Oreochromis niloticus: one gene and its partners. The protein of the gene in region 2 interacts with the protein of the main gene of each other region in a pairwise test. Links are inferred from orthologs where the notes say so. Each region holds a gene or a part of one and is shown on either strand. Other genes may lie near its edges.

Region 1 (10,207 bases), on a different chromosome or scaffold from region 2:
CTCGTCAGTTTCCAAATGAGAGATTGCTTTTTTACTATCCTGTAAATGTGTTCTTATCCTGGCTCAATTTGAGGTTGCTGCTTGATTCATAAAGAAAATTGCAGACAGTTACTTCCTTTAATCTTGCAATGGTGTTATGCAGGGATCACTGAAACTCAGCTGGGATTTTGTAGGAGCATTAAACTCAGTGACTTCCTGTCGGTTGCCCACAGCTGGCCACGTGTAAAATTTTCCTGAAGGATCACCCAGCAGCAGAAACAATAAGACCTCCTTTAAATTGAGAGTGATGTGCTCATTTACGCATGTGGCACAGCAGCAGTAACTTAATTAAAGGAATCAGTCAGGATGCAACAGAAAATAATGTTGTTCTGCACATCCGATCTATACAGTGGACCTGCTGGTAATAAAGCCTCTGAATGAATCCTGACCTCTGAACATTGTTAATAATGTATAAATCATAACGCATAAAATTTATACTGCTTTAATTGTGATGTGGAACAAAGGATTGTGGAAGTAAACTTTTTAGCAGCTTGGATAAATCTGAGCCTCTTCCCGACCAGGTCTATGTTCTTTTTCTTGGCAGGTACTCACTGAGCATGTCGTTATGGTGTCTGACTATTCAATTAGGTTTTAAACCAAATATCCAATCAGCCAATCACACGGCAGGAAGTCAGTGTATTTAGGCGTGTAGACATGGTGACCTGCTGAAATTCAAACTGAGCATCAGAAAGGAGACGAAAAGTGATTTAAGTGACTTTGAATATGGCATGCTCATTGGTGCCAAATGGCCTGGTATGAATGTTCACAAACTGCTGATCTGCTGGGATTTTCCCAAAGAACCATCTCAAGGGTTTACACAGAACAGTCCAAAAAAGAGAAAATGTCTACTGAGTGGCTTCAAGCTGAGAAGAAGCTGAGGCTGAGAACAGGAAGCTGAGGCTGAGAAGGGTCAGAATTTGGCATAAACAACATGAAAGCATGAATGCATGCTGCCTCGTATCAACTGATGGGGGATTCATGCTTGTAAGGACCATAAGGGCAGTACCGTCAATTCCTCCTATACATTTGTCCACTTGTTTCTTTTTAAAAAGTGCAGAGAATAATCATCATCTCAATATAAGGACTAATTATCCATCCATCTATCCCCTTCTGCTTATCCTTATCAGTGTTGTGGGAGGGCATATAAAACACTGGGACATTACCACATGGTAGTTAACACATAATGCACCAGCACCGGCATAAATACCAGCAATGACGTTGGCTGCTTATGTACGTTAAGTCGTAGGCTCTGCAAAGATTCGCTGCAGAAGTCTAAATACGGCGTCAGGCTGGTGGTGGTGTGGGGGATATTTTCTTAGCACATGTTGGGCTCCTTAGCACCAGCTGAGCATTTAAATATCAAAGCCTACCTGAGTACTGTTGCTGACCATGCCCACTGTACTAAGCCTCCAGAGTCAGCAGATCTCAATCCAAAAGAGCACCTATGGGATGTCACAGAAGGGGAGGTTTGATAGTGGATGTGCAGCCGACAACTCTGCAGCCACTGTGTGATGCTGTCACATCAACACGGCAAAAATCTCTGAGGAATGTTTTGAGCACATTGCTGTAATCTGTGCCATGAAGAATTCTTCCTGTCAAAAGGAAGTTTTTCCTTCCCACTGTCACCAATTGCTTGTTCATAGGCCATTTGATTGTTTGAGCTTTCTCTGTATTATTGTAGGATATTTGCTATAATAGTATAAAGTGCCTTGAGGTGACTACTGTAGTGATTTGGCACTATATAAATAAAATTTAACTGAAATCTAAAGGCAAAAAGCGATCCAACCCGGTACCAGCAAAATGTACCCAATAAAGTGGCTGGTGAATGTATACCTGAGCAGTTTCTTTCTATTAAGGAAGTTCTGACTTGTTACACAAAAATGCTTTACATCCATGCCAGCAGCTCTGTGAGGCATATACTACATACAAATACTAATAAACCGATATTTAAGAGGTGTAATATTAATCATCCTTAACTAACAGAAACTTTATATCAGTGGTGATTAAAGTCAGGATAGTTTTTCATCATGAATCAGGCAGCCTTTTGTTGATTTTTTATTTATTTATTTATTTATTTTATAGAGATGGGAGCTCTGTGTGCATTTAAACATTGTTTATGATATACTTCCCCTTTTCCTCCATGGGTCATATTCTGTTTGCTTGTTTGTATTACTGAAAAAAATTATATTGGTAATAGGGTGCTGATATTCAAAAAAAGAAAAAGTATGTGTGATCAAATCAAAATTCACACAGTCATCATTTTAAAAATACGCTGCTCCCATCTGAGCAGCTCGATCCACTGGGACTAACACATGCAGACCCTTTACAGCAGACAGACTTCCATAATGAATAAAGCGAGAGATTGACAGCTCCGAGCTCGCACAAGACCCCATTTTAAGCGGTTGCCATGCCAGCTTCACAGCAGTCAGTGACTCCATGTTACACCACAAGCTCTTAGAGCGGCTCTATGAATAATTCACCACCTTTAAGAGCGAAGGAGAGTCCTTGCTAGCAGCATTTTGGGGAATTTATTTCAAACATTCAAAAAGCTGTCACTTTGACAACAGCCGCGACTAACAGATTCCCACCGCCGTTTGAAGACGACGACGGTCCCCGACGAGGCTGTTTTAATAAAGAGAGCAGAAAGCAGGTCAAACCTCCCACAATCCTCTCTGCTGCATCTTGTCCTCGTTTGCAATTCCAATTGAGTGTCGTTAACAATGATACAACTAATCACTTATGAATGGAAAAATCGCAGAGGCGACGCACAGGAGCCGTCGTTTTGGGGATCAACTACCCCACGTAGGCAAGGAAAAGAAGCATTTTAGTCACCCACATCAATCAGAGAGCGCTCGCATGTTTGAATAAAGTGTTTCAGTTCAAGTGAATCTTCAATCAGTGCACTTGCCTACATGATTCATTTACATCTACAGCAGCAGCAGCAGCAGCTCTGAGGAGTAAGTGGGTGATAACCTGTTGCATCAGTGTAACATACTTGTTGCTTTTTAGGTGGAAAAGCAATCAGTGTAGCCTATTTTATTCATTTTTGTCCGTTACTAAGGGCAAAAGAGCAGGGATAATTAAATGGAGGATCTACAAAAAAAGCAAACACATATGAAAAAGACTTTTTAATGTAATATACTCTGATTTATAACCTTTCTGCTTCATTATTGATTCTTAAAAGGTGCAGCAATGCAGCTATTTTTCATCCTCATAGGGATTATTCAGTTTAATGTATTGCATTCTAATATATTTAGATTTAACAGCTATTCACTGACATATTTTTAAGCAATATGGCCAAAATTTTCAGTAGTTACAGAAACTCAAGTGTGAATATTTACTGGTTTTCTTTAAACTGAATAGCTTTAGGTTTTTGACACTGGCATGTAACCAATAATCATTTTGTTGAAGCTCTTAAATTAATTATAATGCATTTTTTCTTTTCTGCCTTTTAAATTTTTTTCCGTCATTCTCATTAGATCCATTGTGGGGTAAAAGAGAAGCCATGCATAAGGCAGGACTTCATTTTACGCATCAGAAAGGAAACAAAAGAAATAAATAGATAACCAACAGATCCAAAAGCGCACAAATGCAGATACAATTCATTCACAAAACTCTGCAATATTCACAACATACTCAGCATCAAGAAATCTGCCCGTAACTGCTGGATTCTGACCTGATCTGAATAATCTAAGCTGCATGGGTAATCTCCCAATTGAAGACCTTGCCTAAATGTTCTATAATTTATGCAGAGGCTGTCATTCATCACATTGGTACCTCACCATAAATAAGAAAATGCTATGTAATCAGATACTTGTTTTAATGTCACCACCCACTGTGATTTAAAAGCATCCTAATTGTACTGATTCTTTAAGGAACTAAACATAAGAGGATAACTTGATCCTGCTGGTGTCCAATAATCCACACCAAACACCATGTCTGGATATAGAGCACATTTTTATTCACCTGAAGTAGTTTCTTCAGAAATTTACCATGAAAAGCTTCGATAAATGAGATATCTTCACACCTCTGACTCATGCAGCGATACCGGTAAGCAACTGCAGCAGGGCTTCAACAGATAATCCCGAGTCTCTAGCTTTAGTTATCCCACTGTAAAGGCCGTTTTTTAGCCTGCTTTACTCGTTTTCGACAAGCTTGCTACCGCTAAATGTTACATCGAGATAACCTAATCTTCCACTACTTGTATAACTGAATTTTCTCACAAGGTAAATAAATTTAAATGCCTTAACAATATTTTGCTAGTGAGTAATCAAACATATAAACACCACTGCAAAAGAAGGCGCCCCGTCTTCGTTGCCCTCCGGTGACAAATACCGCCACAATCCAGGTATTTTGTCACTGCCAGACTTCTGTGCAAGTGATGATAAATTATGCAAATTGACTGGCATTGCCTCCCTGGTGTAAAAACACATCTAAAGTAGGTTACAAACCGTCTGCACTGAAATATTTCTGCAGCAGTAGAAGAGCTGCGCGGGTCAGAATCAAGAGTAAACATGGATTTAGTGTGCAGGCTATCGGGCCTGAGTGTTTGTGTAAGTGCTTGCGTGATAAATAAGAAATGCAGGGAGTTCAACATGGGAGCAATCTGACTGCTGACATTTTCCACTTCTAATATAGAAACGCCAACAAATAATAAAGAGGACACGAGGAAAACCTGTTCTTAAAAGGCGACTGCATAATAAGATTCTGATGCAAAGATGTTTCTTTTATGGATTATATGTTTAACAAAATCATTAAATCACCACATGGAAGCTGAAGTACACATTGATTTTGCACGCTCACACTTTAGAGCAGCCTCTGCTATAAAATGTACATCTACCACAAAGTTGATACGTATCATTTACTGTTATTTATTTAGTAGCTTCCTAGAATGGTAATTTTTCTTCCATTTTCAGCTCAACTACAGTTATTTAGCATAGTGTTTAGTGTGTTAGAGTGTAAGCATGAAGCACCAGACCAAATCATCTGCGTGGTATGCGCAGACTTTTATGTTTTTATCACACGCTGTTACCAGTCAGCACTGCTGGAGCCGCTCTGCGTGTTTCCTCGTGTTTGATATGAACTGTGATTTCTTTCACATTTGTAGTCGCGCTGGAGGAGACACAAAAAATGTGAAACGCAGAACAAAAATAAGCACACACGGACACACATAAACAGTGGCGGCGTGAGTCGTTAGTACTGAGCGACCAGTGGACCATTTTTCCCCTGACAGGAGGCTACAGGCCAAAAGCATTAACCAATTCAAAAGCTGTCCTTCATGACCGGACCACCGTGGACTGTAATTGGTCCATTTCCTTCACAAGGTCCTCAAAGCGAGCGCGCACACACCGCACACACAGGCACGATCAATAAACAATTTGCTAAGACAGAAGGCCTGCCTGTTACCTCGCAAGAAGGAAAGCAGGAGAGAGTCACAGAAATTTACATGAAGCGAGGCCAGCCGCCTCCTTCTCCCCGTCATGACCGGAGATTTCAGACGGATTCCAGTTCACATGAAGCGCTGTGTGGTAAAACAGATGGATCTGGCTGCAAAAAGGAGTTTCATATTCAGACTCACACACGCTGAGACAATTTCACACCACAAAAATTATGGAAGCAACCCTCCCCCCCCTCCATCTGGTGAAAGCATGGCATGCGTGCATGTGTGTGTATGTGTGTGTGAACTAACAGCTAGAGCTGAGCTTTGCACCTTTTTTATCCAAGATAATTAAAAACAGAGTGAAAGAAAGAAAAAGAGCGAGCTTCTGGAGTCTGTACTCCTCTGGTGTTTGCTCACATACTCCCTCTCTCTCCTCCCTGTATGTGACGCTGCCTGCCCACCCACTCTTAAAGAGAGAGAGAGAGACAGAAAGAGTAGAAGAGACAGAGAGGAAGAGAGAGAGAGAGGAGGGACACGGAGCAGAACAGAGAGCGAGTCTGTTTTCAGCTCCCAGTTCACTGTCGCTCCTCTGCCAGACAGCACTCACCCATCCACCATCACACACTCTCAGACACATTTGCTCTCACTATACCGACAGCTGACAACACCTTCTCATTTCCTCAGCTGCAGCACCGACCCGCAAAGTCAGATCCAAAGGAAAGGGGGGAAGAAAAAGAAAAAAAAAAACTGACTCGATTGGTACCGAGCACACCCAGAGACACACACACGCGTACAGTCGAGCAGACACACCAGCTCCGAGGCTGGGTCGAGGCTGGAGAGGGCGTCTGGAGAATGGAATGGGACCTCAGCAGGATGGAAAGTGAACTGAGGCACATCAACCCGGACCTGCTGCAGCCCAGCAAGAGCTTCAAGAAGCCCTCCTCGGGTACCATCACCCTCAACGTAGGGGGGTTCCTGTACACGGCCCACCGGACCACCCTTGCCAAGCAACAGGGCTCGTTTCTCGAGGAGGTGGCCAACGGTAAGAAGGCGGTCCAGCACACCGATTCCATGGGCAACCCCTTCATCGACAGAGACGGTCCGGTTTTTCGCCATGTGCTCAACTACCTCCGAACAGGAGAGCTCCAGCTGCCCGATGACTTCCGGGAGGCGGGGCTCCTGCGACGAGAGGCCGATTTTTACCGCCTGACTGAACTGGTGGAGGCTGTGGTCGAGTGGGAAACTCAGAGGGCGGCACAGCGGGAACCCGCCTTCCTGGAGGTGACGGATAGCCACGAGAGGTCGCAGGGCCTCAAGGTGTACTGCAGTGACCCCGCCTTCATCGACAAGGTCAAAGGGCGGCTGGTGCAGATCTCCAAGAGCCGCTTGGATGGCTTTCCGGAAGAATTTGTGGTGTCATCCAACGTGATACAGTTCCGACACTTCATCAAGTCGGAGCCTGGCTCGCGGCTCGTTCTGAAGGAGGACAGCACATTCCTGTGCACACTTGACTGTCTGAAACTAGAGACAGTGATGCTAGCACTGAGATCGGGCTTCAAGCTTGTCACCTGCCTTGACAGCAGCAAAGGCTCCGTGGTGGTGGCCGAGGCCCTGCATTTTGTCAAGTAGGATGAAGATGATGAAGGGGGCGGGGAGGGGGAAGATAGAGGGAGAAGAGCCTGTTTCTATATCCACCCTGTGAGGTATTGGTTTGAAAATGTTGTAAGATGTGCCGAGCTGTAATGTGTCATTGATAGAAGAACTGGTGGGTAGGTCTGTCGTACAGGGCAGGTTTTAAATGTTTACTGCACAATAGTGGCTTACACACACACGGGATAAGTTTTTGGGTGATTGTTCTGAGCAGAATGGTATTTTAGCATCACCGTTTGCACTGCTTTGTATTTATAGAACTCAAAATGACCCACATCATCTTGACATTTATAGCATCTTTAACTGCATCTGGTTAGGTATCATGCAAAAGTTTAAGTGACGCGAAAGCCGACAGCGAGTCCTTTCACACAGAAGACGAACGTGTCGAACTGAGGTTTTAAAAACAGCTTTATCAGTGGATTCGTTTCTGCACAAGAACTGCTTCTGCTGCGTGATGTGCACTGCTGTGCCATTCAGCTTTTACTACAGCCTCTGTGTGTGTGTGTGTGTGCGCGTGTGTGTATGTGTGCTGGCGTGCGTGTGCGTGCACTGCTAAACCCACCCCTGTGTGCTGTGTTTAGTTGGTTTAATAGCTTGTGCTCAGTTTATTAGCCTCTCCGGAGCCTGAAGGGACAGCCACAGCTCATTCGGATCGATTCGGATGGACAAAGCAAACTTCACAACCAAATGTTTGAGTTTTAAGTGCAAAGAACTGTGATTATTGTAAGGGCTTTGAATCTAGCATGATGCATGTGCACTAAATAAACTGTGTGTTTGTTAGTGCTGTGAGCCTCTGTGAAGCCAGTGCCACAAAAAAATAAAATGCCTATTACTTTTCAATGTGAGTATTTTACAAATAAAAGTGAGACTAAAACTCTTGGGTCAGAGTGTTTTGACGTTTAATGTCGCTGCTTTTGTGTGACAAACCTCACAAAAACTGCTTCCGTTAATGAGGAAACTTATTTTATACAATCAGGCAGCAAGTCTTAGTATTAGATTATTTTTCTTTCATACAGCAGCTTAAAAGCTACACTTATAACCATTTAGTCCTGACCCTGCTGAACTTACAGTCTGTACAGAGTGAGACTGTTACCCACTGAGTCAGACAGGAGCATTATTAATGTTACGTATCCAAATGGGAGCTATACACAGACTTGGCTCTTGCTTACAGCCAGTACTTTTCCATGCTATAAATGATGCACTTCTGCAGTTCTCCAAACATGTGAAACACTGTTTTCCACATCTGGAAAATTAAAAGGAGAAGGGAGTCATTTTCCACGGTTTTATATGCCGGCCAGTGGAAACCTGTAGAAATTAAAAGGCTTATTCAGAATATTTCCTGTGACGCTGTTCCACGATGTAATGTTCACTTCACGCAGTGCTGCGAAGTAGCTAAACATCATTAACTGCAAAAAAAAACAACCAAGACATAGAAGCAAAAATGTAAGATAGAGGCACAGCAGATCTCAGAAATATAATGTACAGGAAATTCCTAAAGGAGCTTCCAGGGGGTGAAAAGGGTTTCAAAAATGTATTTTAGGGCAAAGTGTGTAAACTGTTAAAGCAGTTTTTTAATGCAGTTTCACATCACTGAAATTATAATTAATTAACAAAACGATAATAAAGTAAATTGTCAGAAAAGTCCAAGACTTGCTTCTAGAAGGACTTTGATTCAATCCGAAACAAAACTCCATAGTTTCATTTGCCTTCTCGCAATACGCCATAAAAACTATCAGAAGGGCAGAGCTAGATTTTTAAAAGTGATTTCTTCAGATACATTTCTTAATGTTTCTTACAGAATTAGAATGCTCTGTATTTGTGGCTGCAAAAAATATCATAAAAAATATCTAAATGGACAAACCTCTCTCTCTTATACAGATACATTAAAAAAATAAATAGAAAACAACAGCAATAACATTAATATATTTATAGCCAGCAAATAGAAGTAATAGTAGTAATAGAAGTAAAAGTCAGTACTTCTCATATTGCTGCAGAGTACGCAGATGTGCTGCTGCGTAAACAGAAACATTTATACAAGTTAAATAAAGAGAAAGATTGACGTGGAGCTCCGATACAAATCTCTGACTGCACATCTACAGTGATACAGTGAAGTTCACTTTGTTTTTACTTCATAAACCCACCAGTGTGTCTGAGTCTGCAAAGTGTAAAAAATTGCAGTGAAGTTTTTAACTAGTGTAATGTTTCGGTAAAGTAATCTGCCAGCCGTACGACAGTTGATTGAATCATAAAGTTGCAAAATATTAAAATAGCTGGAAAAGCTAGGCATGATAGTTCTGTGCCTTTCCACTAATCTACGACTGCATGAATGTGGAGAAACTGGGATACAGAGTTGAAAAAGCAAAAAAAACCTTTCCTATGGCTCAGGTGAAAAATTTAAAAGAGCACTTCTTTAGACTTGCAGGTGAAAAATGAGTACTTTTACTAGCAAAAATCAACCTATAGGCTCAACAAATGTGGCCAATAAACTAAAAGACGCTGTTTTAAATTGATGTTCTGTTTTAACTAATGTGGCTCATATTCTCAAATAAAGTATTTTAATCATTCCTATCATATTTTCTTTCTCTAATATAAACTATGAGTTCAGTGTAAGTAGCTCCAACTTGGTTACAACGCTCATTATGTTTAAAGCAAAGTCTCCCATTATTATGCAACAGCGTCTGTCACACAGTCTAATCAAAACATGCCCTGCTCTCACCCTCACACCGCCTGCTACAGTAACTGACAGCCCAAGTCGTGCTGCCTCCACAGTGCAGCAGCTTCCCCTGCCGCAGCCTCGAGGGAGCCCCTTCAAACCCGTCCAGCTCTAGTGGAGATATTTGGCATTTTAAAACTGGGTCAGACTCTGGGATGAATTCTGCCCTCCTCCCCCAAGGAGAATCTCTTTTTATCCCTTTTATCACTGTACCCTGATTTGTGTCATGCATCTAAGCAGCTAGTAACAGGTAACGAGTGATCGTTACCTGCAAAGTCCAACTTTGTAATATCGTACTGGTCAAAAGTGCTAACCGTAGGTGTGCTTATTTTAATAGCAGGTGGATTAGTAAAATGATCTAATCAGCCTCCTGGGAGATGATGCAGAAATTTCATAAGTTCGTGACTGCAGGAATGGAAAACATA
Region 2 (10,400 bases):
CCATGATCTTTGGTTGAATTCTCTGGGATGTCCAGTCCTGGTAAGCTTTTAGCCTTGCGTTAACACACACCTGAACACACTGGACCAACGAACTGACAACACTTTTGTTTTTATAGAGGTGCTAACACTTGCTCACTGTCAGTTAATGAAGTGCATTTGATTAGCAATATCTGGCTGGTATGTATCCTCTTATTGCCTAAAGAAGTAAGAAGGGTGTCTTTAGTTAGCCACAGGAATGCTAATCCTCTGAAGACAAATGTATTGTTTCATAGAGACAACAGTATAACAACAATGTATTTTATATTTTCATTGATAATGTGACAAAAGTTGTCTGTTTTCTGTGAGTTGAGACAGATTGCGGTTGAACGTTAGCTCATGTGTGCAACATAGCCGTAGGTCCAGGTGGAAGCATTTACCTCATCAGCGAGCACTTCCAGTATAAACTGCATTTATCAGATAAAGAGAGCCCGACACACCTTAGAGACTCTGCAATTAGAGGTCATTCCTGCGTGTGACAAATCACCAGAGTATGCTTACCTTCATTGACAAAAGAAATAAAGCATGTAAAAATGACTATGCAACCACACACACACAGAGAGCTCAGGTCACTAAACTAAATGCTTCTGTTTATTTTGACTGTTTGAGGTTTGGTTGCTTTTTTCAGTGGAGCTAAACTTGCAGTAGTTCCACCATACCCCATAAACAACTACGTCAGGTAAACTAAAGGCAGCTGTAACATGAGTATGAATCCCTGTAATTAATTCATGGTGCTCCTGTTTTCTCTCTCTTTCTCACACTCTCTTTGCAGTGAGCGCACAACAAAACCCAGCTGGTAAACACTGAAAGAAGTGAAAAAAGAAAAATCTAGAGCAGGAAGTAGTCGTTCCCATCTATAAATAGACTTTTTTGTTCTAAGATTTTGGGAAACTTTTGAAATGTCTCCAGAGTGCAAACTTTTCCATGTGGTTCTCTGTTAATGACCTGAGTCAGAATGGATTTAACCGAAAAGGATGTTGTGTTATCTTCTGAATCACAAAGCTCCCTGTGAATGTGTACGTGTGTGTGTGTGTGTGTGTGTGTGTGTGTGTCTTATGCGTGACGCATCTTTTTAGAAAATTTATGTGATAAAATCTTCCCCAAACCACTGTGAGACTGTAGGCGACTGAGACTGATGTCATTACAATGAATCAGCAACAGCAGATTCTGGATTTACTGTAAAAGCAGCACCATCATAATGTAACTGTACATGTAGCTGCTGTAAATTACTCATTGTGTACTCATGTCCTGTTAATTTACATTTTTTCCAGAAAGGAAGAAACCCAGGGAGACGAACGCCGACGAGGAAAAGTCTTTTGAAAACGGAAAAGGAGGAGAAGAAAGAGAAGAAAGTCCATTGCGTCCCCCGGACATGAATCCCGTCATCAACTCAACATCGAGTGGCAACATGGCCCTCATTAGTAACGCACTGGCAGCCTACACTTACGTATTAGGTCGGGTAACATTGTTCTGAAATCTACTGTAACATCACATGTATAGCGTAATGTCTGGCAGTTAGACTTTTAGAGATCTTAACTGCATCTGCTTACGGAGTGGCCCCACAGTGTAAAGGTTAATGCATTCACCTTGCAGCTTGGATAAATGGGAGGGGTGCACCAGGAAGGGCATCCGGCGTAAAATCTGTGCCGAATCGAAATATGCAGATCCAACCGCTGTGGCAGCCCCTCGGGAAATAAGGGGCGGACGAAAGAAACTTGATCTCTTTGGGAAAGAGATACAGTTAGCAAACAAAAAGGCTGGACCTCTGTGTTCAAGAGCATTATCAGCTCCTGGTTGCTTCTTGGCCCATGAGATTAGTGACCACGGGACTGCACTGCATGGATTGATGTGTGTAAAATCCCCGTTTCCCATTTCTTGTCACTAAAAGGTGGGTAAATGTGGGCCAGAGGATGTAAGCAGAGATAATGTCTCTATACATTACACAGTGTGGGTCACCTGCTCTAAGCAGCTGCTAAAACAGTCACTGAAATAGTTTGCCTGTTTCCTGCTATAAACAGTTTATACATAGTGAAATGTGCAGCACAGAAGGTCAAATAAATACACAAGGCATGCAGTGAACATGAGCTTAGGTGGTTACTTAGATCACTTAGCTTTTAGCTTTCTTTTAAGGTTTCCTCAGAATGCAAAAAAGGTTGCACGTTATGATTTCAAGAAGAATTCTCAACGTCTTAATGGTACAAGAGAAATGAAATTGATTATATTAATGAACAATAATATAAACAGAAGTATCTGCAGCTAAGCTGGATGCAGAATGCAAATGCAAAGTACCTGCATGCAAAATGCAAGGAAGACATGAAGGATTCAAAGCTGAAAATGGCATTCATTCATTGAAAAGGGAGAGCTGTTCTCGTCTCGTGCAAATGGAGCTAGAGTCACTTTGGTTTTTTCAGTGGTGAAACACAGATCCCATCAGAGCTGTGACATCTGTTGAAGATGAAAACCAGGAGTAGCAGAATCTGTAAGACATCTTAACTAAACCAAGCCACGTGAACACTTGCTGTGCAGACAATGTTCATTACACTGAGTGAAACGCATCTGGCTAAACAGGTCAGGAAAAAATAAGAAACCCAGTGAGAAAGACTCAGCTTAGTGTTCGACACATTTTCCTCATAAAGTCAACTAACAAGTTCCAATTTCTCTTCTACAACAGACCACCCAGAGAGGGCTGCACTATTCTTTGTCTGCGGTGTGTGTTTGGGCCTCTTCCTCACCCTCTTTGCCCTGGTAGTACAGATCTCCTGTCGCACCGACTGCCAGCCCCGCCAGCGGCCTCCCGCCAAGAAACGACCGCGTCCTCCCGACTCATCCTCCGATTCCAGCGACTCGGACTCAGACTGGGACACCACCTCAGATCTGTCGGCGCGGAGACACCGGCGCTTTGAGCGTACGCTCAACATGAACGTGTTCACGTCGGCGGAGGAGCTGGAAAGAGCACAGAGGCTTGAGGAAAGGGAGCGAATCATCCGGGAGATCTGGATGAACGGACAGCCGGACATCCCAGGGACACGGAGCCTCAATCGATATTACTGAGGACTGCAGAGGAACGATTGATAGGCGGCTTACTTAACTCGAACAAAAATTTAGAACACACTTGGGTTGGAGTGGAAAGGGACAAGGCCTCGATGAAGCTTTATAAGCATGAATGCAAAAGCAGCTGGACTCATACTGATGAGAAAAGTCGAAGGTACTGCAGACTTTTAAAGAAAGTCCTCCTTCTCTGCTGATTTGCATATTCCTCTGGGTATCATAAGCTATTCCCCTTTTGAGTAAAACAATAAGCTCCCTTTCTGTATGGTAAGCTTACCTCTTGGCTGGAGGAAGCAAGAGGTGAAAGGCTGCACTGCCTTGCCCATGACCTCCGCAGGCCTTTTTGAAGTGGGGATTTATGGGTTAGCTGCCTTAGACATACATAGGCCTGCAGAGACTACATGGTGACTGAAGGACCAAGGCCTCAGACAGGTCTGTTTATACAGAACCCCAGGCAGCTGGAAGAGACTGTGACACTTACAGCTTTATGTTCTGTACCCTCCAGTATTCAAGTGTGAACTTTAGCAGAGGGGTAGCATAAAGCAAGTGCACTTGACAATGTAAGATAATCTTTCCACAGTGAATAACCATGCTGCCTTTTGAGCTTTATAAAACCAAAAGATATTTTTGTGGGAATTCATCTCAGCCCTTCTGAAATATATTTTAAAATATTTAATAGTTTATTAATATTGCGTATTTTTGTTGTCAAGTATGGTTTATTATGAGATATTTTTATACTTGGCGAAGGTTGTCTGGTCTAGCACCTCAGGGATGCAATCCTAGTGTTTCTGTGTTTGGTTGATGTTTTTTTTTTTTTTTTTGGTTATTAAGAAGGGGATCGGCCCATTTAAACCGCTGTGCCAGCATTTAAAGAGGAGAACTAGAAATATCATATAAAGAGCCTCAAAGAGGTTTTAGTGATTTTAAACCTTATTTTTGATACAGTATGTTTAACTCACAGTGCAGTGCCTTTTCCAGCTGTTACATCTCTTTGTCAGAAATGAAGCTGATGAGTCTCTCTGTAACTGGTCAAATTATTTATTGATTGGAAATCATAAATTCATCTCGTTGTATGCATATTCCCTTTGCTGAGGTGGACCATGCGTAAAAGCTGAATGCGTCTGTTAAACATTGCACTTCTCCCCAGATGTAAATGTGCATTACCAGTAAATGCCAATTTCTATCAGTGACTTTGCTACAAAATATTTTTATGGTCTTGTCTCATGACAGATGTGTGAATTTCAGGTCTTGCGCCATCCATGTATTCATTTCAAAGATGCTAAACAGATGCCTGTGGAAACCAGCGCTGCAGAAAGTGGCGAATCATGTCGCCACTTTAATCTTATAACCAGTTGACAGTCCAGTTCTGCTCGTGCTTCCCTGACTTCAAGCGTAGAGTTAGTTTTCATAAATCAGTTTGGTATTTTTCTGAGCATAATTAAAGAGTAAACAGGACATATTAAGGTCATCTTCACAACACTCCCTCCACCATACATACACCCTGCACTTCTCCTAGTTTTTTGTTTTTTTTTTAATAACAAAGATATTTGTTGTGTTTAATTTTGAATGGGATTAAAATGTGCCAATAACTGGTGACGTGAGAGACCAAAATATGACTCCTGTGCTTGGAATAAACTGTGTTAAAAAATAACGTCTTTTTTTTTCCTTCTGCACTTTCTTCTGAAAAAACAAGCTGCAACTGTGTACATTGACCTATATTTTTGACTTTAAGACTATATTGTGAGTCTCAGGAAAAAGAAGACGCTTTAGCCTAATTCAAGGACTGAGAATACAGGGAGTTCATAAATAATACTGATTTACACAAGGAGGCCATAAGACAGCATGAAGAAGAACTCGTGAGCCAGTGGCTCACTGGATCTGTAAGATTTGTTATTGAGCGCCACCTTGTGATGAAGACAGATCTCTACAGTGTGTTTTAATGCAGCACATAAGGAGTGAAGTTAGTGACTGCAAATCACTTTGGCTAGCTATACAAAGTCAGCACAACTATATAGATAAATGCATTTGTTTTAGTGGGTATAACATAAAAAAATACTGCATCAAATTAAAAAAAAATAGAAATTATAACAACTTAATATCATGTTATTATATTGTATTTTATTTTTGCCGTTTTTATTTCTTTGTTTCTGTGTTTGCCGCTGTGAATTTCAGTATTTCCTTGGGTTTTTACCGCGAATTTAATTTTGTTTTAGGAAATATTTGCTTTGTTTCCATTGAGACGCCCCTGTCGTTACCATGGATACCATAAACTTACCACGGTGAGAGCTCTCGTGCAATTTTACACACCAACGAAACCTGCTGTTAAATCCACAAATTACACAATTACCACTGCTAACATCTTGTGCAAAGGAGGAGATAAAAAATATATATATATATATATCAAGACTGGAAATGTCTTGTACCTGGAACAGCCACGGACTACCATTTTTACCGGGATATACATTTCGAGATGTGACGGTAAGAATATGATTAAACAAAACTATAGGGTTTGCTTAGTAGTTTGAAACATTAACGATTGACAGAGTTTTACTTCTTTTCTTTTTTTTTTTTTTAAATATTTGTCGATTATTTTTTAATAATGCAGATGTCTTCTTACATTCCTCCACTAGTTAGGTTGTTTAAGTTGCTAAAGTACTAGCCAGCTCTCGAGTGACCTTTAAAACATCCCGGATGTTCTCTAAAGAGTCTTTGATAATTATTGGTTCTTTTATAAGGTTATTTTATTTTACCAAGCCCTAATAAAAATGAACAGCAATGCTCTGAATCATAATAACACATAATTATTATTATTTTTTCATAAAATTAACAAATTCACTGTTGACAGTTAACACAGAGAGAATTTATCCCAGGATTGTTGCTATCCATTCTTGCTATACTTTAGGGATGTTATTGTTATTTTGTCTTCCTACAGGCATAGCGCTCAATACTTGATCTACAGTACTGTTCAGTAGTCTTGAGCCACCCCTCGGAAATGAGAAATGGGTGCAAGAATGTATTGGAACATGTGCAAACATACATGGGAATACAGTACTGAAGGCAAAAACTGAGTTTGTACAATTCTAATCACCCTGAAAGTCAATATTTGGTCTGAGCACCTTTATTCTTCAACACAAACAGAACTCTTAGGCAACAATGCTTGTCATTTCTTTAAGTAGTGTTCGTGAATAGTTCCCCAGGCCTCTTGGGGGACATTTAAAAATCTTCTTTGGATTCTAGCTGCCTTTTGTTACATTAACAGGGGTGGTAGCTCAGGAGTTAGAGCAAGTCATCTACTAATTGGACAGTTAGTGGTTTGATCCCTGGCTACAAGTATGGCCAAATTTCCTTGGGTAAGATACTAACCCCAAGATGCTCTCCAATGTGAGTGACTGGTTTATAAAAAGCACTTGGGTGAATGATGTTGGATTGTAGGGAGTAGAAAAATGCTATTTAAAGAATTATCAGAACATTGAGGTCTGGACTCTGGGGAGGCCAGTCTATCACTGATTGTGCTCCCTTGTGTATTTTTCTATCCAGTTATGCCTTCACCGCATTGGAAGTGTGTTTTGGCAAAAAACAAAAAACAAAAAAAAAGGTTTCGGCAATTTTATGGATTGACATGATTGATCAAACTCGGTTCATAATTCAATTAATTTTGACACCGCTGTCTGAAATTCAGCCCCAAACCACAACAGACCTCCACTGTGTTTTGCTCACGGGTGCCTAATAAACTGTGTTTTCTGTGTTCTGTGTTAATGGGAACAGATGATGTGTTTTTGTGACAGTATACTAGTAAGATAACTAGAGATATATTTTTAGATTGTTATGTTGTAGTTTTCTGCTATGTGTAGACAACACTGGCTCATTGCTTGAGTTAGGTGTCTTTTTTAATGCTTCAGTCATTCATAGGTCAATGTCAAGTGAGTTAACAATTAAAGAATTCCTCTAAAAATGGTCAGGAACAAGGACTTGAATTAAAATCCTTGAAAAAGCAGCCAATAGAACAACGTTAAAAGACCTTAAGAAAGCCTGGAGAATTATTGGCTACTTGGAACAAAATATACACAAGGGGTGGCTCAAGACTTGCACAGACTACTGTAACATTGGACAGAACACTCCCATATTGGTATTTAAGTGTAAACCACATCAATTAGTGATAAGTGCTTCATATAATTACATTTCTGTCTGTATTTACCTGAGCTAATTTATTTCTTCCTCTGTGTTTGCAGAAGTCAGCCTTCCATCGACCCCAAACTCTGAGCTATAGGAATGGTTATGCTCTGCCCCGACGTCCCACTGTGGGCATTGGCAACGACCCTCTTTTATCAGAGCAGCTCACTCAACAAGAGATTAGTGAGTTAGCCTTCGAGACACCTGACCTTACTTATGGCCCCTTTGGTAAAAGAGTACATGAAGACTTCCTCCCTGCTCATGTGGCCCTTGACAAGAAGGTTTGGTAACACCTATAGTTGTAAAACTCATAAAAACATAAAGGTTCTTCATCTGTTATTCATCACTACCACCTGTCTTGCAGGCGCTGCGCTACTATGGATATTTTATGGAGGCTATTTTGTATTCCCCTGAAGAAGAGTACCGTGTACGCCCTGTGGTAATTTACTATTACCTAGAGGATGACAGCATTTGCATTATCGAGCCCACAGTAGAGAACTCTGGGATACCACAGGGAAAGCGGATCAAACGCCACCAGTTGCCCAAGAATGAACGTGGAGAGCATTACCATTGGAAAGATCTCAACCTTGGTATGGACCTGGACGTGTATGGGGTCAAATACCGCATTACCCAGTGTGATACCTTTACTAAGGTACAACCTTATGTGTTTGAATGCTGTGGAAATGAAACTATGCATTAGAAGTCTGCTGTTATAAATACACTTCCTGCGTGTTCTGATCTCTCATTCTTTGTACAGGAATTCATGGAAAGTGAAGGCATGATTGTAAATGACCCTGAGCTAATGCCAGCGGATCCTTACATCATGCGTCGTGAAAACCCTCCACCGTGTCACACTACACCTTCCACATTTGATAATTTGCACAAGTTTCTCAAGATGGACCGCAAGGTAAATGAAATTCTGTCCTTTCCAAGCTGACTGTGTTACATTTATCACGTTTAGCACTGTCACATCACAGCAACGTCCAAGGTTTGAATCCACCAATCTTGATTTGTGTTAGAGTTCTAATAAGTGTTAGAAATTAAATTCCTGGATTGGGTATCCCTGCCATGAAATAAATGGCAGATATAATAGAGGCATGCCTGTATTTGTAGTTTCATTCTTCTACACTTTTTTGGTCAGGTGTTACGCTTCTTCGCTCTGTGGGATGATGCTGACTCTCTATATGGGGAGTCCAGGCCTGTTACCATTCACTATTACCTGGTGGATGATACAGTGGAGATCGCAGAAGTCCACCAACCAAACAGTGGCCGGGATCCCTTCCCCATCCTGATGCGGAGGCAGAGACTACCCAAAAAGATCAAATCAGGTTTCATACAGTACTGTGCGTTTGTTAAATGTGCATTTAACTGACTTGATTTGATACAGTGCAGTAAAGTGAGTTATGTCATCAGTTAAGTTTTTTTTTCTTTCCTACTTTATGTATGACATAAACGGCTTTATGAAATGATGACAAAAATGATGACATGTTATGTAAAAAGATTAATTACACTGGCTTCTACAAAGTACTCGGTTTTCTAGATACATCAAAAATACTGTGGGACTGTGGTAATATTTTGTATATTTAATTTTTACATTGGTGTACTCTTGTTTATTTGTAGAGAACTTCCCCAGTGCAGTGATGGAGGTCTCAAAGGAAGAGGTGGATGAGTATTACTCCCCAAAAGACTTCCAGGTGGGTCAAAGGATGAAACTACTGGGGCGCAACTTCCTGCTTTATGACTGTGATGGCTTCACTAAAGAATATTACCAGAAGAACCACCCGGAAATGGAGATGAAGTCCATAGAGATACCAAAGAAGGCTGATATCCCTCAAGACAGGAAGAAGGTAAATTGAACTGTATATTTAACCTATTTTTGTTTTTTATGTTAGCAAAAATTTTATCTAAACTGAAGCCCATCCTGGAATGGGATTACACCACGATTATAAACTACATCCATCTGTGAATTTGACTTTCATGATGTCAGTGATACACCTGCATCTTACACAGTGATGACGCATCATACTGACAGAATCTGTCTACAGATAGTCATATAAACACTTGATAAAGCTCTAAAAACTACCTTTGAAGAGGTTCCTGCTATAGTAAGTGTCTCAAGGACCTAATTTTGCCATGACTGCATACACACAGACAGATTCAGAAGGTAATCTGTATCACTGAGGAGGCATGATTTATACTGCTTTAAGCCAGACCAGTTCAAAGTGATAGGAAGGCAATAGTAGCTCAATTAAGCAGACGGACTACAGCAGCAGAAGTGTATATGTTTTTGTACATTATTACTTTGTGTCCATTTCCTTCTCTCTTTCTCCATGCTGTCCATTCTTACAGACAATTCCTCCCTACAATGGTTTTGGCTCACTTGAGGATTCTCTTCAGAATTGTTTGCGTCTGATTCCCGAGCCTCCCAAAGTGAACGTGGTAAAGATGCTAGAGAACAACCATAAAGTGTTGCGCTACAGTGCCAGACTGGTGAGCAACATTTAGCAGAGCATTTGTAGCAGTTTAAACAGAAACACTGCAGATTAGAGATATTTTTACTCCTCAGTAAAAATTTATTTAAAAAGGGGTGATTATGCAAAAACGCTATTTTTATTTTTACACGTTGGTTAAGCCCGCCTATGTTGCATTCCAGGACTCCCAGAATCCTGAAGATGAAGACCGCCGTTTCATCCTGTCCTACTTCCTGTCCAATGACATGATCAGCATTTTTGAAAAGACCACACGCAACTCTGGTATCATTGGTGGAAAGTTTCTGGAAAAGTCCCGTGTGCCCAAGCCGGACTCTACTGTAGACAAACCTGCGTACTACTCACCTGCAGACTTCGCTATCGGGGCCACTGTGGAAGGTAACAGCTGAAATCCTATGTTAACCAGGACTGGGAAAACAAACATGCCACTATCCCAACTTTTTTTAAGCGGGTTTCTGACTTCAAATTGAAAATGATTATATATGCATTTTTGTACAGTAACATTTCTCAGTTATGACATTTTAAATGTTATCTTTAGTATATCAAGATTATAAAATTTACCTTTTCCCTTTTTTTTTTTCCCACTTTCAGTTTTTGGTCACCGCTTTGTGCTGACTGATGCCGACCACTACGTGCTCAGATACTTGGAGTCTAACT
Region 3 (10,652 bases), on a different chromosome or scaffold from region 2:
AAAGGCGCTGATTCCTTACGGCACTGACTGAAGTAACAGATGGGGTTCAGACTAGACTAAAAAAAAATTTTAAATAATCACCTTTTTCCATTTTTCTACGGCCAATCTTAAGCAGCGCAAATCACCCTGATGGCAGGCCTGCTGCTCTCTGTTTCTCCTGAAGTAAAACAAATAAACGATTCTATTAGCCGACAGCACATTTAGCTCAAGCCCAAATGATTCAACAGCTTCACCAAAACTTCTTCTTGAGCTTCACCTGTCTCGTAGCTCAGTGCTGTTTTCCTTCCACTGCATCATCGTCCTGTGTAGAAGTGTGCGACGATACAGACTACGTGAAGCCTCCCATTTCTCCACCTCTTTGATCCGCTCTTGTGTGCGCTGCCTCCATCGCGTCCAGGCTCTCTGCTTCTGGCATCTCTCATCATGAAGAACTGCCTGGAAAAACGTAAGTGTTATTTATCACCAATGCGGTGCACCACAACAAAGTTTTCATCTGCAGTTGACGTACCATCCGCTCAGAAAGCATCTCTTCCTTGAGCTTCTCCGACTTCCCCCACCAGGTGTAAAACACCCAGGTGCACTGGCGCCGCCTGACAACACAGTGGACAGACAGATCATTTGGCCATATTCATCCACCTGCTAAGGTTGAAAACTACAAAGTCTACACACAAACCAGTACAAACCAAAGTCTAGATAATGCAAACTGAATGTTCTCCCTCAGATGCCTAAATAAAGTAAATCTGACACTCTGACTGTCTGGGAAATGACTCCTGATCGTGGTGCCTCAGGGCTTGGACACCACAGACAGTTCCATAGAAAACTACCTTTTTGTCTTTGAGTTACAGCCAGAGACCAGCTCCCATGAGCAAAAATGATCCTCAATATGAAATTGGGGTCAATTTGACACAGAAGATGATGTCTGCTTTCTGTTTAAAGACTGTGGTGAATCTGTATGCGCGCATCCCACCACTCAGAATGGGACCAGTGATCTAAAAATAGAGGGTCTAAAAACAGCACCCACACTGAAAGTGGTCCAGAGAAGCCAAAAAAAAAAAAAAAAAAAAAAAAAAAAAGAACTTTCAAGGGGAAAGCAGCCAAATTTAAAAAGGTATATTGTTATTTTATTTTCATTTGAAGAGTTGCATAACTGAAGAGGAGAAAGATGATGACTCACCGATTATAAGCTTCAGCTTTGAGTCTTCTCTGTTGACGCATTCTGCTGTGGAGGGTAAACTCAACCCAAGACTGGAAGCACCGAGGTAGCATATGGTCTACAAACCAAATGTCTGCACGACGCTCCAGTTCCTGTAAAAAAAAAATAAACAAAAAAAACAAAACTTAACAAGTTGATTGTGTTGTGATGCAAAAGCATCTGCATCTCTGCTGTCTTGAGTTGTATTTGAAAATACCTGCATGTGTCTCTGCTCAGCAAGTTTCTCTCTCCAGTGGTGAAAATGTCTTCTAAGCAGTGAAGTGCTGCAACGAGAAACAAAATTCCATTTGTAGCATGGGTGTTACAACAAAGAGCCGTGACTATAGCCCTATGGATTGGGAAATGTATGTAAGAGCACCTGTAGTTACTCAGGGCCATATCTATGAAGGGTTTAAAACTCCGGTTTTCAGCTTCCTCCACACGATCCTGCCATAGTTTCCAGTACTTATGAGTCATCTACAAAAAAAAAAAAAAAGCATTTCAGATGCTTTGAAATCTTCAATGAGAGTAACGCTGACTGTCTGCAGCGTGAAGATCGTAGTGTGTTCATCAGTTACCGTTTGCTGACAATGTTGGATAGCCATATGGTTGTTCAGTCGATATGTTTTGTTCAACACGACATTAAGAGACAACCCTCGCAATCCAGCACGCTGCAATGAGAATGCGCTGTGATGAATACATGAATTGAACATGCTGATCTTTGCTTATGTGTGGGTTCTTTATTTTATTTATTTTTTTACCATTAAATGATGTTGGTAGTGTTGATTTGCTGCATGCTTTCTTTCAGTTTCTTCTCTGCACAATGCCACATCTACTGAAGAGCTCAAGAATCAAACAACAATGCCGATAAATTAAAACTGATTTAGTAGCAGGTAGAAAAACTAGTTTATCCAAGTTTTATCTATTCTACATGTGGATCAGGATACAAGCTCTCCAATGCACCAGTGCTGTGCATTGAATGCTCCGCGTGGCCAAACGGGCTGCTGCTTGCAAACGGGTCTCTTCACTGTGTTTGCGATCGAGAGCATTTCTCCATTTACTCCAACACCTCCTCACCAGGAGGCGAGAGCAGGCACGCTGAGCCAAAGCTGAAGGCGAAACACAAAAGAACAAAAAATAAAAATGTGTTAAGAGATAGCAAAATAATGATGCTTCAAGAATGGAAACAAAGCTGCGTGGGTATTCTATAATGACCTTGTGTTTCTGTCTTGGTGTGGCGATAGGACACATATCTCATCCACTGATGCAAAGCTCTTCTTTTCAATCTGGAGATAAAATGAAACGCAGCTCTGGATTCTTTCTCTTTCTGGCAAGAAGCAGCCGTATGCATCTCTTTCCACTGAAGCCAAGCCTTCAATACAAAATATATCAGGTGACCCATCACCAGAGAGAACACACAGGAGTAATGTACCTCAAGGTTCACTACTCTTTGGTTTTCTTTATACATTTGACCCCGGGAGCATGTCATCCATGGGCATAGTGTAAGTTGACAACCACCTCAGCTTAGATAAGCATTTCAATTCAGTTGTCCAGTCTTATTTTATGCTGCTTAGGCTCAGTAAGAGTTAGTTTTCACAGGATTGTAGTATAACTGAGCTATTTTCCCATTCCTGATTTCTTTTTATTTTTGCACATTTATCTCACTTAAATGTTTCAGATCAAATGTTAATATTAGATAAAAATAATTGAGGTTCATATGAAATGCACTTTTAAGTAATGATTTCATTTATCAAGGACAGAAATAATCCAAACCTACATGGCCCTGTGTGAAAAAGCAACTGCCCCCTAAATCTAATGACTGCTTGTGCCACCCCTGACAACAAGAACTAAAATCAGGTGTTTGCAATAACTGACAATGAGTCTTTCACATCCCTGTGGAGGAATCTTGGCCAACTCTTCTTTGCAGAATTATTTTAATTCAGTCGCACTGGTGCGTTTTGGATCATTGTTCTGCTGCATAGCCCAAGTGCGTCTGAATTTCAGAGCACGAACTGATGGCTGGACATTCTCGTTCAGGATTTTCTGGTAGAGAGCAGAATTCATGGTCCATCACAGAGTCACCACCATGTTTGACACCGTGTAATGTTTCTTTTATGAAATACTGTGTGAGTTTTATGCCAGATGTAACGGGACTCAAACCTTCCAAAGACAGATGGCGGTATGACGTAAATCTACTTGACTTCGTCTGACAGGTTCCATTTCCATTATTTCTTGATTCAACAGGTCTGCCTTGAATCAGGCCGAGGTGTGGCTATCAAAATTGAACTCAGCTTTCTAAAGAATGTGGTTAATCACAGTTAATTTAAAATTCAATAATAACAGATGAAATTATCACTTTATTATTGTTATTATTATTTTTTGTATTTCCTTGGGTCATCTTTATCTAATTAGTTTGACAGATTGGAACAGCCTAACTGAGTAGATCAGATTGCAGAGCTTACTATCATCTTTTAAATCTCTCTTAAAGACATACTTTGATGATCAGGTTTTTACTGTGCCTCTGCTTTGAAGTGAATGTTGTCCTTCATAATTTTTTCTTGGTGATAATTTTTTTATTTAGTCTAATTTTTCATAAATGCTTTTAATTTACATGTTTATAATTTTAGTTGTCTTTATCTTTATAAAGATAAGATAAAATTCGTCTTTATCTACTGCCTTTGAACTTCTTCTACTGTCAGCGTTCCTACACTTTATGTTGTTTCACTTTTAATTCTTCTTAAACATTTTGTAGTTTGTCACTTGGTTTTGAAAGGTGCAGTATTGAAAAAAAGTTATTCTTGTTATTTTTATTATTACTATTAATAATAATAATATTAACATGTGATTCACAGGGGTGTTCGATCATGCCCTTACCCTTTTCTTTAAGGTTAGCGCCCTCTGTTTCTGTGCTTGAACCTCCAAAACGTGAAGGTCTCGACGGTGCTGTAATCTAGTCTGCCACAAGCTCCACACTGAGCTGCAAAACAAAAACAATGGTAAAATCAATATTATGGTAAAAATCATAATGCTACAAGTTTTCATTTGATAACACAAAAATCTCACTGCATAGCTGAGAGCCTGTACTGCTCAAGAGCTGATTCCAGCCTTCTGCTCTTCAGTCTTCTCATCTCTGTGAAAACCTCCCATCTGTCCAACAGCAGACGCATCCGCTGGTTGTCAGCTGATGATAGAAACAAAGTGGGTGATGACACATCAGTGAATTATAAAATCTGACAAACCCCCCCCCCAACATTAGGCTTGAATGGTAAAAGTCACACCAAATGACTGAGCCTTTTGCTGTTGCATCTTCTTTTCCCTCTGCAAACACACAAACATTCGCCAGCTGCGGAGAGTCCAGTTGCACAGGTAATACCTGAAATAAAAGCAGCATGAACACATGAACAGACTTCAGTGAATCAACTATAAAAGTCTTCTATAATGTACTGTAATGACCTGTAGTGACAGTCTGCTCGCATGTTCAGACTCCACTCCCTCCTGGATGACCACCACTCATCTCTCCATCCTTCAAAGGTTCTTCTCAGTACCACTCTGTTATAGTGCGACCTGGAAAACACTGGAATTAGTGAGCAGGTAGGAAAACGAGGGCAACCAAATGGTAAACTTGAAAATGCTTTCAATTTCCAAACAAATGAAACACGTTACTTTGCTTCATGAGGAAGAACTCGGCCAAAGGTGTTCTGTATCCATATCTTCAGAAACTTTCTTGCAAGGTGCCTGCAGAAGTTAAAAGAATGGAGACTTAATTTTCAAGAAGACAGTAACATGATAACAGTGGGTCAAGGAATAGTCTCAGCACCTTATTCTCAGCTCCTTGAGTCTTCCACCTTTGTTCCAGGTGTATCCAACTCTGTAAGCGACCTTTCTGATGTGAACTTTGCGCACTTGTTTTGCTTCACCACGAGATCTGACATAGTTTAAACGGGGTCTTACTGGATCCGAGTTTCCGCCGATACTTTGCATTTTTCAAGCCGCTATTATACAGAGCACCGAATCGCATCACTTCTCAAATACAAGCATCAAAGCATCCGCATTTTACACTTTGAAGGCTGTTGTAGCTTACATGATAAAATTACCTTAATTTATCCTCACGTTAAAACTCTTTACAAAGTGCCGCGCGTTTGTTTTTCCTTATCACGTGACCACTTGGTGTCTTCGATACACAGTTGTCAACAACAACAACCTCTGCTGCCGGTCTGTGGAGACCACACTAAACTGGTTGTGGTAGTTATAAGAGTCACGGTCTGCTTAATAAACTTTTCAATATGGGGTGGTGTTTTTCATACACCTCCCTCTACAACAGTTTAAACTCTGAAATGTTTACTTCACACAGGAAGAACGTACTTAAGGTCCCCTCAGTTTAACGACGATGACACGAAATGTCAGTCGTGGACTGCCCGCGAGGACGGGGTCTTTATTTTCATAAGGACCATCAGGAGACCGGCGGTGGAGAATCACAAATCAAGCGAATCCTGAGACAAAATATGGCTGTCTCTAATAATGCCTGTCACGTGCCTTTTACCGTAGTATAAAAAAAATCACTACAAAGCAATTTACATTTTCAATATTTTATATACATACGTATAAACCAATTTATTTTGAAATTAATTTTCATATATTGGTTTAGATTTTAAAATAATTATCGCCAACGCACACCTGCCAATTTAAATTTTTACAAAGGCGCGCTGGGCACGGCGTAATCTTTGCCAGGACCTTCTTAAAGCGGTGATCAGAGGAAAATTGCTGCTACGACTTAGAAAACAGAGAAAGAGAAGACTATTATTTGAGATTTCACCGGTTCCGTGTGATTTAATTTGTTGTTTTGAACCAGTCTTATTGTGTTAGGTTACCCCTCTATAGTGTGTGCTCCCTGAAATCACAGCGACAACTCTACCGGCTCACGATTTGGTGCTCGCTGGGTGGGCATTTATCCCCAGTCCCCCAGCTAGTTAGCTAGCTCAAAGTGCTAGGCTAGGCTAGCCAGCTAACTAACGTGATCAGCTCGGCCGTTAGCGACCGGCATTCCGCACAGCATTCAAACTGAGTAAGTTTGTCTTTTGCCAAAATTTGACTTGCAAGTCGGTTGTCTACACAACTTTTGTGCCACGAATTCGCCTTATGGTTAACTGTGTGGGACGCTACCATCGTTTGGCTAACCCTGTGTCAATCTCTTGGCTAACTAGTAGCGTTTATTTCCTAAAGCTGAAATGATGAGGAATGTTTTGTATTAAAATGTTTACATGTCTTTAACTCGCTGGATCCTTTCATTGCAGAACGGCTTCGTTTACAACTCAAATGCGATACCCAATTAGTAAATTGATGTAAGCGCTTTGTAATATAATGACCTGTCAGTTCTCAGCTGCTGTCAATTAAATTGCTAATTAGCCAGCAACAACCTGAGACTCTAGAGTTGTTTTTTAACTGCCCGGTGCAGGTAAGCTTCATGAGAGTTCAAGTTTTTCTTCACGGCAACTTTTCTGTAATCTTGTTTTCTCGTGCTGCCTAGTTTAAGATGGCAATACATCTGATATATTTTGCAGCAACAGAAGGAAGCAGGGTTTTTTTTGTTTTAATCTTCGGAACATGCGTCCTTTCATTTGAAGTAATTGGCCTTTAAGACTGTATTTAGTGGCCGTAGTCGAGTATAATTGACTTGTAAATGTTAACTTGTCATCCACAGGTGTAGAGTCATTGGTGGCTGAGACACTGTCTGCTCTGTCTGAAATCCATCATGGAGAAAGATGCCTGTGTAGAGCCTAAGAATGGTGACGCTGCTGTCGACCAGCCTAAGCCGGCAGCCACAGCTCCTTACAGATACACTAAGGTGACAAAATGCCAGCTGTGTCATTGTTTATCAAATTTAGATGTTGCTGTGAATTAAACTAGACTATCAATTTATTTGCAGGAGGAGCTTTTGGAAATCAAAGCGCTGCCAATCTCCAATGAAAGGCCTGAATGTCTCTCTGAGAAATATGACAGGTATGAATTTGTGTAAAAGTCACATTGGGTAATACTGGACAGGAGGTTATGCTTTTCAAATGAGAAAGCATGGGTGAATTCTAGTAAGGAAAAGTACTAGTATTTCTCTATGCTGTGAAATACTGATTTTTGGCACAGATCAACAGTTCTTCAATTGTATTTGTTGCTGGAACTGAAGTGTATGTGATCAAAAGTTACTTTGATTAAACAAGGTTAAGCAGAAGAGTTTCTATACAAATATGTTCACTGTCTTGAAACTAAAATTTGCATAAAGTTTGTAATAATCATTGACATAGTTTAACTGTCCAGAAGACTTGCTCCTGCTTTTTGGAATTCACATGCACTTCCAGCTTGTCTCTTGCTCGGAGCTTATTTAAATTCCTTGGGGTAATTCTTAAACAACAGTCAAAGATTTGTTCAGATGTCTGCTTGAGAAGCAAAACAAACGCTTGCACTAGAAGACTTGTATCTTTGTCCAATAGCTGTTGGAGCCAGGAACAGTAGCTATGACTATATGAGAAGTGGGCTCATTAAAGGGTGGGTCAAGCGGTTTTGGGTGGGGGGGTGGGGGGGTATTTTTAATCCTAAAAAAGACCTCTTTACCCCTTCAAAGCCTACTAGGAGTTGCCCTCGAAGATCTTTTCTGAACTGAGCAGTTTGTCATTATTTTTTAGATCTGCTTATGTTTGCATCCGTTAGTGAGGTAAGGTGTGAGAGTGGTCTCTGCCTAGGCAGCTACCCTTGCTAAAACCTGCAAACAATTTTAGTTGTCATCCAATCACATCTTTATTGATGGATACTGAGGTGTCAGAACTCGTCATTAAGTGTAATGTCTTTATGGGAGAGAGTTAATGAATGACTTCAGATTTTGAAGACATGTACTTAAAATGTGATTTGTCTCAACTGTTGGAAAAATTGTTTATAGTAGTCTGTCATCAGAGTTAAACACTGCTAGTGCAACAGTATCAATTAGTTTATTATTTTGAGGATCTGATTTTATTGCACCCTCTTTTTGGGTTGTATTCTGTGCTCACAGCATAAAGGTTGAAATGGATGGCCTGACCTGTGTATTGTATTTTTGCCCATGCCTATCTTTACTTTACTCATCACAGTAGTCTTGTAATACTCAAATATAAATGTTAAACTTTCAAGATGCAGGAATTGTATCTTTCATTGTTGCTCTTTATTTATTTTTTCCTAAACAGGATCCCAGTTGAGGCTGTAGTTGTCTCTTTATTTGAAATTTATGGGTGGCTTTTTTGTTTGTTTGTTTTAAACAGTGATGGTGTCTGGGACCCTGAGAAATGGCATGCCTCACTATATCCCACTTCAGAGCGAAGCTCACCTGTGGAAGGTTTTAAGAAGGACTACATGGATGACAGAGTTCCATTAAAACGAAGAATCCCAGGTAAATAATTACTGATGGTAGATGGTTATCCTTTCATCTTTGCGTTTCATAACAATGTTGTCTAGAAACTTAACTGTGCTCTGATCAATGAATGTTTAGGATTTTAGGTTCCAGTCTTGCACAAGATTTCTAAACTGCTGCAGTGGAATTGTTCATGTAGTCTATGTACTCCATAAAACAGTTGTTGTTGTTGTTATTATTATTATTATTATTATTATTATTTGGGGTGTGTGTTTCCCTCCCTGTTTTTTAGATCCCCGTGAGCGGTTAAAGGAGGATGACCTGGATGTAGTACTGAGCCCACAGCGACGTAGCTTTGGAGGTGGATGTCAGGGCAATGCTGCCCTTCATATCCGTCGCCCAATCAGCCCCTTGGAAAACAAAGAAAATGACACTCTACGTATGGGAGGGTCACGCAGAATTGGCAGTGGACGCATAATTGCTGCCCGTGCCTTTGAGAGAGAAGCTCGTGCAGAGAAGGAGCGTGAGAGAGACTTGAAGGATAAAAGATTCAGGGTTGGTGTTTGTCACTTTCAGTCAGTGCAAATGTCCTTGCTTTTAGTTTTAATGTAATATTGAATGCACTTACATTTTTTGCAACTTTATTTTACACGATACATTTTTAGTTCAAGGAAAATCTTTTTTTTTTTTTTTTAAACTGTCTAAAAACACAATTTTGTAAGACTTGAGCTAAATTTATAAAAGTGTTTCTGTGCAGTTACTCTTTAATTGTTCCATCCCATATTTCTAAATTGATATTGTTTGTCCCATGTAATCATTTGCAGAGAGATTTTGGTGACAAGCGTGTGTTTAGCGAAAGGAGGAGGAATGACTCGTATGCAGAAGACGAGCCAGAGTGGTTCACGGAGGGTCCCACCAGCCAGTCGGAGACAATTGAGCTTATTGGATTTGATGACAAAATCCTGGAAGATGATAAACGCAAATCTAAGCGTTCAAGGAAGCGGACAGAATCTTTGAAAGAAGGCATGTCAAGACATTGTTAGAAATACTGCCAACATTTTTAGGGACTATTGTATTTCTAGTAGTATTTGGAAAGTCAGTTCAGTAAGACTTCATGTTAAAATTGTGACTTGTATTTAATTTTATTGTCGCACATCTTGTATGCAGTAGTGGAATGTAATGGCGGACAGCCTGAGGAGCAAGATGTGGGTTTGCAGTCGACAGCTGATCAGGAAGTTCCCCACACTGATGTTCTGCCAGAGCCTTCAGCTGGTGACTTCGACTTCAATGAATTCTACAATCTAGAGAAGACCATGCCAGGACTGGCCTCTGTAAGTACTGGGGTGCACTCTGGTTTTGTTTGGCTTAGTGGTTTGAAGCTCACAGATGGGGTGTCATTAGTAACTTCTAAAATATCAGTGTGATTTATTTTTCCAGAAAAGCTTAACAGTAGAGGTTTTCATGTTTGCTCACCCCTGAACCAGACACAACTGTCAACTTAAAAACAAATTATACAATTAAGACTCTTACAAGCCTGATAGTTGTGGCTTTTTAAAAAAAATCGGAATTTCACAAATTGTGCATTTAGTCATATAAAACAAAGTATTGATACTTTGTATCAGTGCAAGATTACCTCTGCTGCACTAGCTTGACCTCACTGAATTTGGTCTTTGGTTGGTGAGTCATGTCACTGAATGGTGCACTATCAATATTCTGTTCTCTGGGCTTTTGCATGGGGTTAATGAGATGTTTAAAAGGCATCAACAATCCAAATTTATGCCCATCATTGTAGCTTGGATGCAGTTTCTAGTTTGAACTAGAAAAGCCCAACTGCAAACTACTTTTAGCATTTTTAGATTCTATGCTTTCTGGTAAATGAGAACAAGGTCAAACAGCAGTGCATTCAGTGACACTGCCCTCAGTCTTCTAGCACCTTTTTAGTGCTAAATCGATGGAAAGCGCTACAAACGTAAGTGGCACATTTGTTCTTGCACCCTTCAGTATGCAGATTTTTGTATCCTAGTCTGTCTCACAGGCCCCTATTTCTGTCTCACAGATGATAGAGGATGTTTTGGGAGAGGGCCCTGTGTCAGC

What was found. The genes of interacting proteins can lie anywhere in the genome.
Region 1: the proteins of efhc1 (region 2) and kctd4 interact in binary tests that used the Homo sapiens proteins (3 or more experiments, as listed by UniProt). The two-hybrid records come from large-scale screens. The link is inferred for Oreochromis niloticus from reciprocal best matches to the Homo sapiens genes EFHC1 and KCTD4.
Region 3: the proteins of efhc1 (region 2) and eif4enif1 interact in binary tests that used the Homo sapiens proteins (3 or more experiments, as listed by UniProt). The two-hybrid records come from large-scale screens. The link is inferred for Oreochromis niloticus from reciprocal best matches to the Homo sapiens genes EFHC1 and EIF4ENIF1.

Annotation. Positions count from the first base shown.
Region 1 is NC_031987.2:11,320,829-11,331,035, reverse strand, and holds kctd4 (BTB/POZ domain-containing protein KCTD4), read left to right. Parts: upstream 1-5,924; 5' UTR 5,925-6,271; coding exon 6,272-7,048; 3' UTR 7,049-7,949; downstream 7,950-10,207.
Region 2 is NC_031980.2:12,763,507-12,773,906, forward strand, and holds the start of efhc1 (EF-hand domain-containing protein 1), read left to right. Parts: upstream 1-5,328; 5' UTR 5,329-5,496; coding exon 5,497-5,562; intron 5,563-7,313; coding exon 7,314-7,535; intron 7,536-7,618; coding exon 7,619-7,906; intron 7,907-8,011; coding exon 8,012-8,161; intron 8,162-8,395; coding exon 8,396-8,582; intron 8,583-8,874; coding exon 8,875-9,101; intron 9,102-9,603; coding exon 9,604-9,744; intron 9,745-9,907; coding exon 9,908-10,121; intron 10,122-10,334; coding exon 10,335-10,400. Other genes in the region: eva1aa (protein eva-1 homolog C), read left to right, coding at 1,308-1,490, 2,708-3,087. UniProt on the Homo sapiens protein: Microtubule inner protein (MIP) part of the dynein-decorated doublet microtubules (DMTs) in cilia axoneme, which is required for motile cilia beating.
Region 3 is NC_031970.2:16,088,877-16,099,528, forward strand, and holds the start of eif4enif1 (eukaryotic translation initiation factor 4E transporter), read left to right. Parts: upstream 1-5,894; 5' UTR 5,895-6,254; intron 6,255-6,506; exon of another isoform or gene 6,507-6,644; intron 6,645-6,790; exon of another isoform or gene 6,791-6,812; intron 6,813-6,890; 5' UTR 6,891-6,941; coding exon 6,942-7,034; intron 7,035-7,115; coding exon 7,116-7,189; intron 7,190-8,469; coding exon 8,470-8,597; intron 8,598-8,850; coding exon 8,851-9,113; intron 9,114-9,382; coding exon 9,383-9,581; intron 9,582-9,725; coding exon 9,726-9,889; intron 9,890-10,614; coding exon 10,615-10,652. Other genes in the region: protein SFI1 homolog, read right to left, coding at 82-157, 257-435, 509-590, 1,175-1,305, 1,410-1,476, 1,572-1,669, 1,771-1,863, 1,954-2,024 and 8 more. UniProt on the Homo sapiens protein: EIF4E-binding protein that regulates translation and stability of mRNAs in processing bodies (P-bodies). Plays a key role in P-bodies to coordinate the storage of translationally inactive mRNAs in the cytoplasm and prevent their degradation.